2 linked regions of the Drosophila melanogaster genome follow. The protein of the gene in region 2 interacts with the protein of the main gene of each other region in a pairwise test. Each region holds a gene or a part of one and is shown on either strand. Other genes may lie near its edges.

The links.
Region 1: the proteins of Zip99C (region 2) and CG34268 interact in a two-hybrid assay, tested with the Drosophila melanogaster proteins (one large-scale study listed by BioGRID).

Annotation. Positions count from the first base shown.
Region 1 is NT_037436.4:498,198-502,375, reverse strand, and holds CG34268 (uncharacterized protein), read right to left. Parts: upstream 1,412-4,178; 5' UTR 1,352-1,411; coding exon 1,340-1,351; intron 1,277-1,339; coding exon 1,037-1,276; 3' UTR 976-1,036; downstream 1-975. Other genes in the region: CG34267 (uncharacterized protein), read left to right, coding at 2,003-2,014, 2,078-2,299.
Region 2 is NT_033777.3:29,862,453-29,871,277, forward strand, and holds Zip99C (Zinc/iron regulated transporter-related protein 99C), read right to left. Parts: upstream 6,444-8,825; 5' UTR 6,081-6,443; intron 5,620-6,080; exon of another isoform or gene 5,538-5,619; intron 5,366-5,537; exon of another isoform or gene 5,292-5,365; intron 4,763-5,291; exon of another isoform or gene 4,728-4,762; intron 4,083-4,727; exon of another isoform or gene 4,064-4,082; intron 3,729-4,063; exon of another isoform or gene 3,649-3,728; intron 3,061-3,648; exon of another isoform or gene 2,948-3,060; 5' UTR 2,816-2,947; coding exon 2,605-2,815; intron 2,545-2,604; coding exon 2,437-2,544; intron 2,375-2,436; coding exon 1,961-2,374; intron 1,899-1,960; coding exon 1,743-1,898; intron 1,685-1,742; coding exon 1,506-1,684; 3' UTR 1,249-1,505; downstream 1-1,248. Other genes in the region: RpS8 (ribosomal protein S8), read left to right, coding at 333-744, 963-1,066; CG34133 (uncharacterized protein), read left to right, coding at 7,256-7,341, 7,398-7,602, 8,608-8,697, 8,787-8,825. UniProt on the Drosophila melanogaster protein: Involved in zinc transport and homeostasis.

The sequences.
Region 1 (4,178 bases), on a different chromosome or scaffold from region 2:
TAAAATTGCCCAACTCTGGCCGAGAAATTTACTTTAAACTGAAAAGGAAGTGGAACCTGAATGGTAGCAGCAGGCTGAAAAACAAAGCTGAAACTGAAAATCGAAACCGAAATGAAATGTGGGGAAAATTAAGAAGAAAACGCTAACAATAAATCTTTTGGCAATAGAAAAAACAAAACCTGCCACAAAAAAGGCCCAAAAAGCCTGTTCACAAAATTGACTTTCGAACACAATTTATTTTTATATTTTTGTCTGCTTATTTCGATGTTATTTTTTTTTTTTGTTTTACCAAATCGCTTGAGAGTTTTTCTAGCCAGCGATTTAATAACCCGAATAAAGCCCCAAATAAAAAACAATGAAAAATTAATGTACGATCCATTCAGGTTCATCATCGACACGAGATCGAACCGCAACCGGGGAAAAAGCCAAAGGGAAAGGCGGCTGGCTCAGAGTGTTTGAAGCGGGCTGTAAGGCTTTGCTTTGTCGCCACTTTAATTGGCTCAAATTAAAGACGAGCTGGGATTGGGTTTTAATGGCAACGTCTGTCGGGTAAGGGGTGGTGGGAGGGGGGGAGGTGGAGAAGATGCAGCTGCAGTTTAGAGGCGTCACTTTATTCCGCTGATTAATGAAGAAATTTCCCCTGGAAGCTTGCCGCCTTGTTAACGACTTTATGTGTGACTATTCGCAAATAACAAAATGAGCGAGGTGAAATTAAATTTTACAAAATGTCCCATAAAATAATCAGTCAGCCATGGAAACCACTGGGGTCTGCGGACAACTTTAGTTGCTATAAAATGTGTAAAATGGAAAGTGCTGACCACGAAAGGGTGTTGGGTACGTAATTTTTACGAGAATTATTTCCTTGATGTAGGAAAAAACATGCATCATTTAATTGTAAGTATAAAAATTAAGCCAGTCCCGATGGCATGACCCAAAAGTTTATCCTCGCTCTATACCAGAAAATAAAGATAAGTTCGATTTGGTTGGCAATTTATTTATGTCGGGTCAATTTCTAATGGGGTTGTGCTACAATAATTTAACCATGGTAGATGTGGTGTCCATAGGTGGGAACAGCGTAGGACTTCAGCACAGGGACATGCTGAACCACTGGGACATTTTTCACCACCGGAACATGCTGCACCACTGGAACATGCTTCACCACCGGAACAGATTTCACCACGGGCACCACCTGGGCCACAGGAACCACTCCGTAGGAGGGCTCAATGTAACCAGGAGCAGCAAAAGCCATTGCTACCAGGGCGAAGATTACAGCGATCTAAGGAGATATTTTGTAATATGAAAAATCCTAAGGATTTACTTTATAATTTCGTGAACTTACAATGCGGAACATTTTGGTATTTTGTTGTGAGTTAAAAACTTTAACTTGTGGTTATCGAACGTTTGTGTTAGCCGGACGACTGTTGTTGATTGACCATCCGTGGAATCATTATATATAGTAGTTAGCACCTCAGCCGAAAATAGCCCACAAATGACTTCTGTTCGAACGCCACGCGCCAAACCAGTTTAATTATCTTAAATTTGGTATCTTCGAATAATGCGCATTCTATTTGGTATGAAACCATCTCCAGCGGCGAACTTCCCGTTATCGGTCGTTATTGCTTAACCTTTGGACATAATCCCCATTCAATGACTTCTCAATTGTTTGCTGTTTTTAGATCCGTGTGCTTATTATTGTTTACTTCCAAGACCATTGTCATTATATCGATCGTCTTCACGCGTTTGTGATGATCACCAAGAACCAAGGTCATGTCCACAAAAAAAGACCTATATGAGGCACCTTTGGGTCAACTGATAAATCCATTCTCTCAATTAAACAGAAGAATTATGGCCAAACACGTTTGCCCATTTAGAAGTTGTTATTGAAGTGATTTTTGGCTATATAAAGTAACTGATCCATTGGTCAGCATCACCAGTCGTCCTACAAGCATCCAAGTGACAATATCTCCAAGTCAAGTTTGTAAATTACTAAGAAAATACCAAAATGTTCCGCATTGTAAGTTCACGAAATTATAAAGTAAATCCTTGTGATTTTTCATATTACAAAATATCTCCTTAGATCGCTGTGATCTTCGCCCTGGTAGCAATGGCTTTTGCTGCTCCTGGTTACATTGAGCCCTCCTACGGTGTGGTTCCTGTAGCCCAAGTGGTGCCCGTGGTGAAATCTGTTCCAGTGGTGCAGCACGTTCCGGTGGTGAAGAATGTCCCAGTGGTTCAGCATGTCCCTGTGCTGAAGTCCTACGCTGTTCCCACCTATGGACACCACATCTACCACGGTTAAATTTTGGAAAGAGCTCAATCGATATCGCACGGGAATAAATAAAATGTTTATGCTTGTAAAAGGAATCATATTTGACTTACTTGTCTCAAATCAAATGCACTTCAAATGAGTTTACAACTTCTGTGATTTATTCGCAGTATTTGCAGTGTGTGCGGATTATTTTCTCATGTCCCGCCGAGTTTTTGTATCCAACAACCCATTAAGAGCTGCAACAGAATTTTCTTCGGTCTGGTCCGATCGGAAATTTTTACGCAAGCCGTAAATGCGCCAAAATCTGGAACACAAATACGTTTTTCTCTGTTTTCGCGTTAGGGGCTTTGTAGTTTATTTGGTGCGGATCGAGTGATAAAAGCCAAATGTGCGCCTCGTTCCAGGCACCCAAAAGATACGGAGATTGAGCAGTTGCGTGGAACACATTTGGCAGGCTGTTCGCTGGTGAATTGACTCTTTGCACCGACTGAAGGTGATTAATGGACGCCAAGAGGAGCGGAGCGGAGTGGAGTTCAGTTGCGAAGAGTTGAGAGTAGCCGTACGATACTTCTTAAACGGTAGTTAAAATCTAACTAACACGCGAGAGAAAGAGTTTGCGTTTGCAGAGTTGGCTGATGAAAACGCTTGCGGCTGGCATTGAAGACTTCTATAAAATGGAAAGGGGGAGGCTTTTCTTGCTGACCCACTTTTGGCAGACAGAAAAATGTATTTGCCTTTGCTGACTGGCTTGGCTGGGCACTCCAAGAATTGTTAACAGCAATTTAGTGGTTATTCGCTTCTTCTTCGGCTGCTAAGTGTATTTTATTGTTCGCCAATTGCTGTTGTTGTCTTGTTAACGCTTTTTATAGCCGCCTTTTGCTTTTCGGCCAACTCTATTTGTCGAGTCTTTCTCTCCATGCAGATGTATCCCACAGATACATTCATTAACTTGTTTGCAGTTACAGTTTCCCTGTTTCCCCTCGCCGGTGATTTATGCTATCGCCAGCGTTTGTTCGTATATTTAGACATTTCCTATGTGTTGTCACCTCAATTTTTTCCTGCACTTGCTCAACTTTTTTATTTTAATTTTATTTTTAGGCTAATTAAAATAATCAGGTAATTGTGCAGTTATGAGTTATGTCTCAAGTCGGCGGAGAAGAGGAAGATTGTGTGAACATGGCAGACCTCAAATCTCGTTATGACTATGAATATGCATTGGCGCTTGATGAGATCCCCTTCCCCATTTTGTGAAGAAGTTAAAGGCGTGCCCAGGCAATTAGTTTGGAGTTGGGCCCTTCCATAGAAACCTTCAGGGCTATTTTGGCACGTTGTCAGGAGGTGGAATGCTGGAATCAGGCGTTGACTTCGGGCGAAACTTGTTCTCCACACCCAGTAACCATTGAATATAACAGGGCTCTCTAGTTAAGATGGGCTCATAAATAGAATAAGTTACAGGCAGCTTTTGACTTTAATAGTTCGCACTTTAATGGATGTTGAAGGACTATGAACGAGTTCGATGAGATCATGATCCTGTTTTAACTATTAAAGTTTTTGAAAAGTTCAATAGCATTCATCACTTATTTTACTTCCATTGAGTAAAACTTAAAGCCAAAACCTGAGCGAATTTTCCTCCCCATCTCTCAGTCAGATATGTGATTGATTTTCCAATCTTTCTCCACAAAGTCTTTAAGAGCACTCCGGCCTGGCAAACTGGACTTAACGTCGATGTCATCCATATGCTTGTGGCGCGGCCGACAAATAGCAAATAAGGGAAAAACTTGTCAGCCTCGCACACGTTTCCTTCTTCTGGCTTTGGATGGCTTCTTGGAAAAGCGGGGCCAGCACAAGAATCTCTTCTATTTCCTTGGGAAATATCTCTGGCATTCGTGTTGTGCGTTGTCTTTGATTC
Region 2 (8,825 bases):
ACTTGGATAGTATACACATGGTTTTTATGTCGTACGATTGCGATTGTTTTCAATGATCGTTATACCATGTTTTATTTTAAGAGATTGTTTACATGCCTATCTAAGTTTAAGTTGGAATTCACCGACAAATCTGTGAAAAGTATGAGATAATTGGTCCTAATATACAAATGCAATGTTAAATGATGTTAACGCGTGTCAACTGCAATTGTGCTCTCGAGTACTCTTCTTGATGATTGAAAAGCTTTATGTTCGGACTACTGATAAATATATCGTTCCCTCCATAAGGTCTCCCGTCTGTATGCCCGGACTAACTCTTGAACTCATTTTTTCAGCTTGGCTCCGGCCGCGTGCACAAGGTGCGCACCCGTGGTGGAAACACCAAGCTCCGTGCTCTGCGCCTGGAAACCGGAAACTTCGCCTGGGCCTCCGAGGGAGTGGCGCGCAAGACCCGTATCGCCGATGTTGTGTACAACGCCTCCAACAACGAGCTGGTGCGAACCAAGACCTTGGTGAAGAACAGCATCGTGGTCATCGATGCCACGCCCTTCCGCCAGTGGTACGAGGCTCACTACGTGCTGCCCCTGGGACGCAAGCGTAACCCCAAGCACGCCCAGAAAGAGGACGAGAACGACGTGCTGACCAAGAAGCGCAGCGAAAAGGTTATGAAGAAGTACCTGGAGCGCCAGAAGTACGGCAAGGTCGAGCAGGCCCTCGAGGATCAGTTCACCTCCGGCCGCATCTTGGGTGTGTATTCTTTCTAATTCATGATTAATGATTTTTGTTATAGTGATGTAAAAACCCTAGCGATCCAGCTACTTTATTGTGTTGATCTTGTTTTAAGAGAGACGCAAGCCTGTTGGGTGTGATTCTGCTTGTCATAGTTACTCTGATCAGACCACTAAACTTATACTTTTCCATTTACTGGAAGCCCCGCTCTAATTCCCTGTTATTTTTCCTTTCAGCTTGCATTTCTTCCCGCCCCGGACAGTGCGGTCGCTCCGACGGCTACATTTTGGAAGGCAAGGAGTTGGAATTCTACCTTAAGAAGATCAAGTCTAAGAAATAAAGGCACTAGATAAGCTTGCAAGACATGATTTGCAAACAAAAACGGAATAAAACAACTTGTTTTTTATAGGAAGTGCATTTTTCTGATTTTGTTCTTTAATTTTCCTGCTGACAAAGAAATGCAGCCCAAATAGTGGACGCTTTTGTTACCCAAATAAAGTCCAGATAAAAGATAAGAATGTTCGTGGATAGTGGAGGGCAAAGGACTCTCCCTTAAATGTCTATTGAATTTTCGTTTCATAAGTATGATACAGTAATACGTAATCATTAATAATAGTTTAAATATCATTCATATTGGCTATAATTACATAACGCAGACAGGATGTCGAATCCCATAAAGTACAACAAATTCATGTTAATTTAAAACTGCCAATGACAATCTTAGAACAAACTAAAAACTGCTTTCAATTTTCTTCTTATACTGCTGTCAGCTAAAGTTCCTAGTGTTCGAATAGCATGGTCATCACGGCCATTAACGCAATGCCAAATACCAGTGCTAGCAGCTGCTTAATGGACTCCTTGCGCTCCTCCTCCTTCAAGAGATCAGGTAATACTGTGACCAGAGCAATGTGCAGAAAGCCGCCGGCGGTGAACGGCATAATCCACGAAGTACGTGCCTCTGTAAATGTAAAGATAAGTTTGCTTGTTTGTCACACGGAGAGCCCATTTAAGCTTACCCATGGCCGACGTTACGCCGGAGCCTCCGATGGCCACCAGAGCACCGAGCAGGCCAGCTCCCGCCGTGAGTAGTTGCGCACGCGCGGCGTCCCAGCGACTGAATCCGGATCGAAGCAGGATTGCGAAATCCCCCACCTCGTGCGGAATTTCATGAACTGTATGTAGGGAAATAAGTGAGGAACTATCCTATGTTTCAATAGTATCTATAAGTACTTACGCAATATGGCAAAAGTGGCTAGAATGCCGTGTCTGAAGGACACCAAAAAGGATCCAGCCACGGCTAGACCGTGTGTGAAATTGTCAATTGAGTTGGCCAAGAGGTTCAGATAACCAGCCACCTTCTTCGGCTGTTCCTTCCTTTCCTTTGACTTCTGTTCCTGCTCGCGTAGGAAACAGACTTTACCTACATCTTCGATGTCGCAGGCGCCGCCACAACTCTCAGAGGTTTCGCCCTCTGGTAGTTGGCCGCCATGTCGACGCAACAGGCAGTTGGCTATCTCCACGCACTTGGGCTGAGGGTTCTCCTCGTCCGCGCTGGCATATCCGGAAAAGATTTTCTCCACGATCGTGAAGATCAGTATGCCGGAAAGTACCCAAAGGCCCGAGCGCAGGGATGGGTGACTAGAAGGATCTTTAGGAGGAAAACGAATATTATGGAGATGATTTCACAACTTGGATTTCCCCGCAACTCACCTTGATTATCGCCCTCCCAGGCTTCTGGCAACAGGTGAAGGAACACATCGCCCAGCAGACCGCCGACCGCGAAACTCAGAAGCACTCGCAGGAGTTTTGAATCTGCAGCTGTAGGGTGAGATGTGATTCAAGTTCAATTGATATACTTTTCGTACGCATGTGACTTACGATCTTTGTATCCCTCCTTAGCCATTTTCTCCTCCGTGGGAATGATGATCAGCGGGAATATGCCACTCAGTCCAATTACCACCGATCCCAGCAGGGAGAAAACCCATGGCGTGTACTCAAAGCTTTTGAAGTACTCGGGCATGTACTGGTCCATCAGGTTGGAGTATATCATGGCGATGTGTTCATCGAAGAAGCTGCTGTTCGTGGTCATTTTCGGCTGCCTTTTTACGGCTACTTATGCGCTGCTCTGTGCTGGAACTGGGTTGGGTTTCTTCAGTCACTGCTGCCTGCTCATGTCCAGTGACTTTCGGTGGAGTATGTGCCGTGATCGATGATGACTCGGCTAGTAAAGAAAATATAATTTAAATGGTTTAAGAAATGTCAGCACACACGTAAATTTTGATACAAATAGCCAGTTAAGCAAATGTTTCCCCAAATCCGCCACCTGGCAACAAAATCATTGAATAACTAGATGCGGTTCTTAGTATCAGACAGACGGTGATGCGAAAATCCTTTAGATATGGACAATGTCAGCCATAATCAATAAAGGGGCAGGGAAAAACTCTCTCAACTGCGCTCGTTGTCAGGTTCGATAAGCGAGTCTCTGTAAAATTTAATCATGGCAACTTAAGTGTGACTAGACGGCTTCATAGGGAACGGCAGTCAATCAAACTAAGACCATTGCCCGATAGCTACTCCATCAGGATGAGTAAGCGTGTCCTGCCTCACTATAACCAATAAAATATCAAATTGTTCGTTGTGGAACTTGTTACCCGTATCACAGCGAACCTGGTAGACTTTATCTAAAATGCAGGTACTTAAATGATAAATATATATTTGCCAATATGGCTTGTTCGAGTTCGAGCAATAATTAATTGGCTTTTTCCATAATTAATAAGCAATTTAGATGCAGTTAGTTAGTTTGAATGTGATTGCTTTCCAGGATTTTTTATTTTAGAATCTGCTGTACGATTAGTAGAAGAATTCTACTTGTAAATCAAACTTCTCTCGATCGTAAACTACTTTTATATCACTGCCACCAACCAAAACAGATTGTAAATTGGGCGAAAATTAATTTCCAAGCTCGATAACCGACGCTTCCAATGTGCAGAAACAGACTAAACGAATTTTCAGGAGACGCTGCTTCGGAACGCCCACGTCAAGATACTTTGTTTCCATTTGATTTCCGATTTGATGTGCACGATGCAGCTTAAACTGTTCACTTTGCCGCGATAAGATTACGATGGCGCTGGCACAATGGAGTGACATGATTTCGGCGGTTTTGCTAAGCGGCAATACTCCGCATGTGTATTGGGGAATCAAACTTGGAAGCGGACGAATGATGTCTAATCCCCGACAGAACGGGCAGAATGGGAATGCCTCGGAACTTCAGTAGCGAGATGCGAAATCAATCCGGTAAGCTATGGCTATACAATAACTATATACGTATATACTACACTCTTATCTTTCGCAGTGTCGTTGTCATTGAACTATCAGAAAGCAAATGAGCTAGATTAGATTTAGACATCGTGTAATTACTTGAGTTACCCAAAATATCTCTAAAGACTGAGACTAGGAGGCTGTATTAACTATCATTCAGTTCATCTGTTCCAATATTACAAATACTCTATGCGAACTATGACTGTTTCACGCTTTTATTGTTATTCTACTGTATTTGCCCTTTAAAGATTCGCAAAACAACAATAGCAAAGAGAGTCTTCTTGTTCAGATTCAGGTTTCTTTTAAATTAGTCGAAAATCGCTACTAGGAAGCCACTCAAGTTTGCTTTTACGGTTTGATCAGATGAGTAAATAATTCAATTTCGGCACAATAACTCGGGATTATCTGTTTAGCTGTTGCACTAATTGCTGTGTTTCTTGGGCGAGCCTTCACTGAAAAGACAGTTCAGATTAATTCCGGGAATCCTGTCAATTACACTCAGATAGTTAGTTAGTTATTCACGAATATGGCGAATCGCACAAGTACTTAATAAACATAATGTGGCACTATTTTGCTGGAAGACTAGAGGACAATAGATTCTTCTGCGATTTAAAGTTGATTTGTGGCGTGAGGTATTTGTATACTGCCAACTGTTAACACAATACCAGTAAACTATATCACACTTGAGCGTTGCTAATGCGGAAATTTATGCTCCAAGCTCCACAATTCGTGTGTTATCGCGTCGGTAACTGAGCTCGTTGTGGTGCAATTATCGTCTTCTTCGCCTTCTTATAGATGAATTGAAAAGAAAATATAAACAGGGGACTCCAAAGCTCGTGCTATAAATACAATTTGGCGTAAAGATGCAATTAAAAGAGTTGCTAGCTCGCCAATCACTTGTGAATCATTATTGTCGCCAGTAGGGCCGCAAACTTTTGAATGGATCATCAAAATGGCAGAGATTATTTTGCACGCTGCACTAAAACTGGGACATGGCGTAGTGAACATGCTTTGATTATCAATCAAAACGTGCGGGGCAAACAATCCGAATGAGAAACTTGGTCCCTTGGGTGATAAGGAGTGTGCCCGAGCAGATATAAAGAAAGTATAGATAAAGGGAATTCATCAACAAAGAATATTAAAGTGTATGGCATGGGAAAAAGGAAACTTGGTACATTCCCGAGTTTTAATCGAGCTTCAGCTTTGCTGCACTAGTCATAAATAGATTTGTCACCCTTGTAAATCACCTAGAACACCGAAGAAAGTTCTTTGTTCCGATCAGGGTACTATGTGCATATGTCTACACCCACAACCGAGCACTGAGTATCACATGGCTTTGAGTTTGATTAACCAGCATACGGAGAAGCAAACCCTTCGATTCTACATTATTAATAAACAAGATTGAAGCCGCGAAACCAGTTTGCCAAACAAGTTATCATTGTATTGTTGTTCAACAAAGTCTAGTCCATTTGTTTTTCTATATACATACATACATATATGTACCGCTGATAAAACGCAATACGCTCAATATGATTATAGTGTTCAGAGCACAGATTCGAGATTAGATTGAGTACTGTTCAAAATTACTCAAATATGGCCGCTATTAGTGACGTGCAGATGATAATCTTACACTAGGTTAGTTATGCGGCATATCAAGAGATCTATGCGGAAGTTGGAAGTTTGCTCAAAAGAAGTATCGTATCATGTACTTCTAAAAATTCAACACATTTTTCGAAAACGTCTCTGATGCTTTTATTTGAAACCGCACGATAAAACAATGGAATTATCTACAGAGAAACATATGTACTTTGTACATAACTGATAAGCAACACCAGCTGAGTCGATTTAAGCACTTATGTTTTCATCTTCTAGATCCTACATTCATGCATATAGTATATAGTTTTAATGGATTAGGATCTCTTTCACCACAAAGCGAAATGTCACATAATCATTAGGTGGCTGCCATTAAATACCAGACTTTGTCTTCGAGCCCGATTTCAGATAATCGGTTGGGATGGGTGTGCAGTTATTTTTACCGTTATTCAGCTGTAACAGGAACGGGTTAACGTGCTCTTATCACTTTTATAGCAGGGAATAAAACCCGAAACTTTCGATTTTTGCAGTGGCGAAATTGTATGATAAATTACTTTTCTATTGCGTAGTAGCGATCATTGGCACCCGATGCTTTTTTTACTGCGAAGTAATTGCGTGAATTTACGTTTATTTCGCCCGGGCTCTGCGTGGGTTAAACGTACGCCTGGCCTCGCCTAACTCGAAACACGGGCTTAATGTTGATGTCGTCGCTCCGCGCGTCGCTTCACTAACAGTTACAAGCTCGCCAAAAACACATGCATTTATACATTTGTTTACTTTGTTCGAGGGCCGTGCGGAAAATACAATAACAAAGCAATATGGTGCATTTCGATAGCGGTGGCAGTCCACAATCAAAAATGTCGGTTATCGATAACAGGTTGAATTTTATCTTAGCAGAGATCCCAACAATGGTGGGGGAGCTTGATATCAGCTGTGTGACTACCAGTGATCGATAATTAAATACCATAGTAAAATTAGGCACATATATGTAGAAATCCGACTTATGTAGAAAATATTTAAATGCCCCCTATTGCCTCAAATACGTTATTTTCAAAGCGAGATGTAGGAAATTAAAAATTTTGTATATATATATTTTCGATTTAATATTGGAATATAAACATAAAACATTAGGTTTTTGTATAAATTTAATACAGTGTATAAATTTAAAATACGCGCGGACTCTCGCCGCATTTTTGCGTGTCACGAGCAAGCACGACCAATAGCCCATCGCTAGTTCAATCGATTGCTTATTAATCATACTTGACGCAATCGAAATCATTATTGCATCTTTGACACCACTAGTATTTACGCGTATCAAGCGTAAAAACTCAATTAACAATTGATTAGGAACTAAATTAGCAGTATAATTATGTGTAATAAAACGCAGGCGATAGCAACATGTTAAATGCAGTGCATTCAGCGCTAGTGCGGCAGCGAGTGACGTCACACGAGTAGAAAGCAACAAAGCAACAACAACAAAAGACAGTGGGGCGCCGCAGCAACAAAAGGGAATCAATAACAAAAAACCATAGAGAAAATCGTAATTTGGTGGATAATTTGCATACGATTGGGTGGTTAGATAACGCCGACAACCCATCACAAACGCACAAATCACGAAATGAGTAAGCTGGAAACGGATTCGGACAGTTCAGAGGAGTTTTTCGATGCCGAGGACACTACGCCCAATCGCCATTCGACTTTGTGGTAGGTTCTTGTGGCTTACCCCGTAAAAATGTTTAATTAATCCCTGGCCATTTCAGTCGAAAGCTGCCGCCCGAGGTGGCCCAGGAGTTCATCTTTCCCGAGCCCGCCGTGAGAGTGAATGCCGCCGCCTCATCCGACAGCGATGCTACGCCCATTGGCGCTGGAACGCCCGCCACCCGGAGTCCCACTAATAGCCTGGGTGCCCGGCTAAAGCCGCAGGATGCAGGGGTCTTCGTTGAGCCCAAGCCCGTGATAGGACCTGTAAGTGAATGGGGTCCACATGGAGTGCTCTTACTTCCGTTTTGCTAGACCCAGTTATGATGTCATCTACTAGGGTAACGATCCATCATCAGTGGCCTTGGAACACCATTCCCACGTGTGAAAGCCCTCATTCAGCTCATATGTCTGGTGGTGTAATTTGTAGAAGGTTTACTACCATGTGAAGCTTAAATTTATGGCTAAATTTTTAAAGCGGTTAAAAACTGCGCTCTGTCCAATGTCTGTGATCATCATGTGCAGTTTTTTCATTTATTTTGTTCTATTTTAAACACTAGTGGATGAGATATATGTACAATATTAGGAACCATTCGTTTGGTAAAGCAAGTATATTTTTATGTTTAGGTCTTTATTATTGTTGTTCCTTATCTTTCCACATATAGATGGTCATATACCTACCATTTCGCGCCAACTTCCCATAGTTATTATCAATGCTCACAGCCATACATTTCTCAACCGCTCCCTTAGCGACATTTAAAAACTGTCACTGCCTTAGAAATTGATTAAAAACCGATATGATACGGTTTATGGAATTTACCTAGTCTTAATTAGCAAGAGAACATTTATTTCAAGGTGTAAAGATAATGGCAGGTTTTGAGGTACTGCATTTACCCCTATCACACGTTTTGCATCATCACTGAAAAAATTCGTTCATGATTACTTAGCAGTTGCACATCTGCCAACCTATGGCCACATTTGTTGTTTCATTTTTCATAATCCTGGGCAGGTGAACTGCAATTTTTTAGAATTGGGTGATTTTTAGTTCTTAATAGCCAAAAAGCACAATCTAATGAACAAAAACCAAATCACCCCCTTAATTTTGTGTCCATATTTGTGTTCTTTACTTTCATATTTTCTCCGCCTCATTTCGTAAATCCAACGAATAAAAAACAATACTCAACTTAAAAATGGAAACCAACTTAAACTCGAATCTCTACCAATGTTAATATGCATACGTTAAAAAAAATGACATAAATATATCGCATATAGTTGGGTAGACAGCGCTTTCACGAACTACGTCAGTGCATGCAAAACGATGAAGATGATAATCCAGGAAATACACTCACACCTGATTCTCAGGTATACATTTTTGTAATCTAGCCTGTTTGCTCAGCTTTCCGTTTGCCCAGCTTACCCACGTGTACTTATGATTTAAATTAAACTTGCAGAATAGCTCAACGGATGGCATTTTTACCAACCGTTCGACG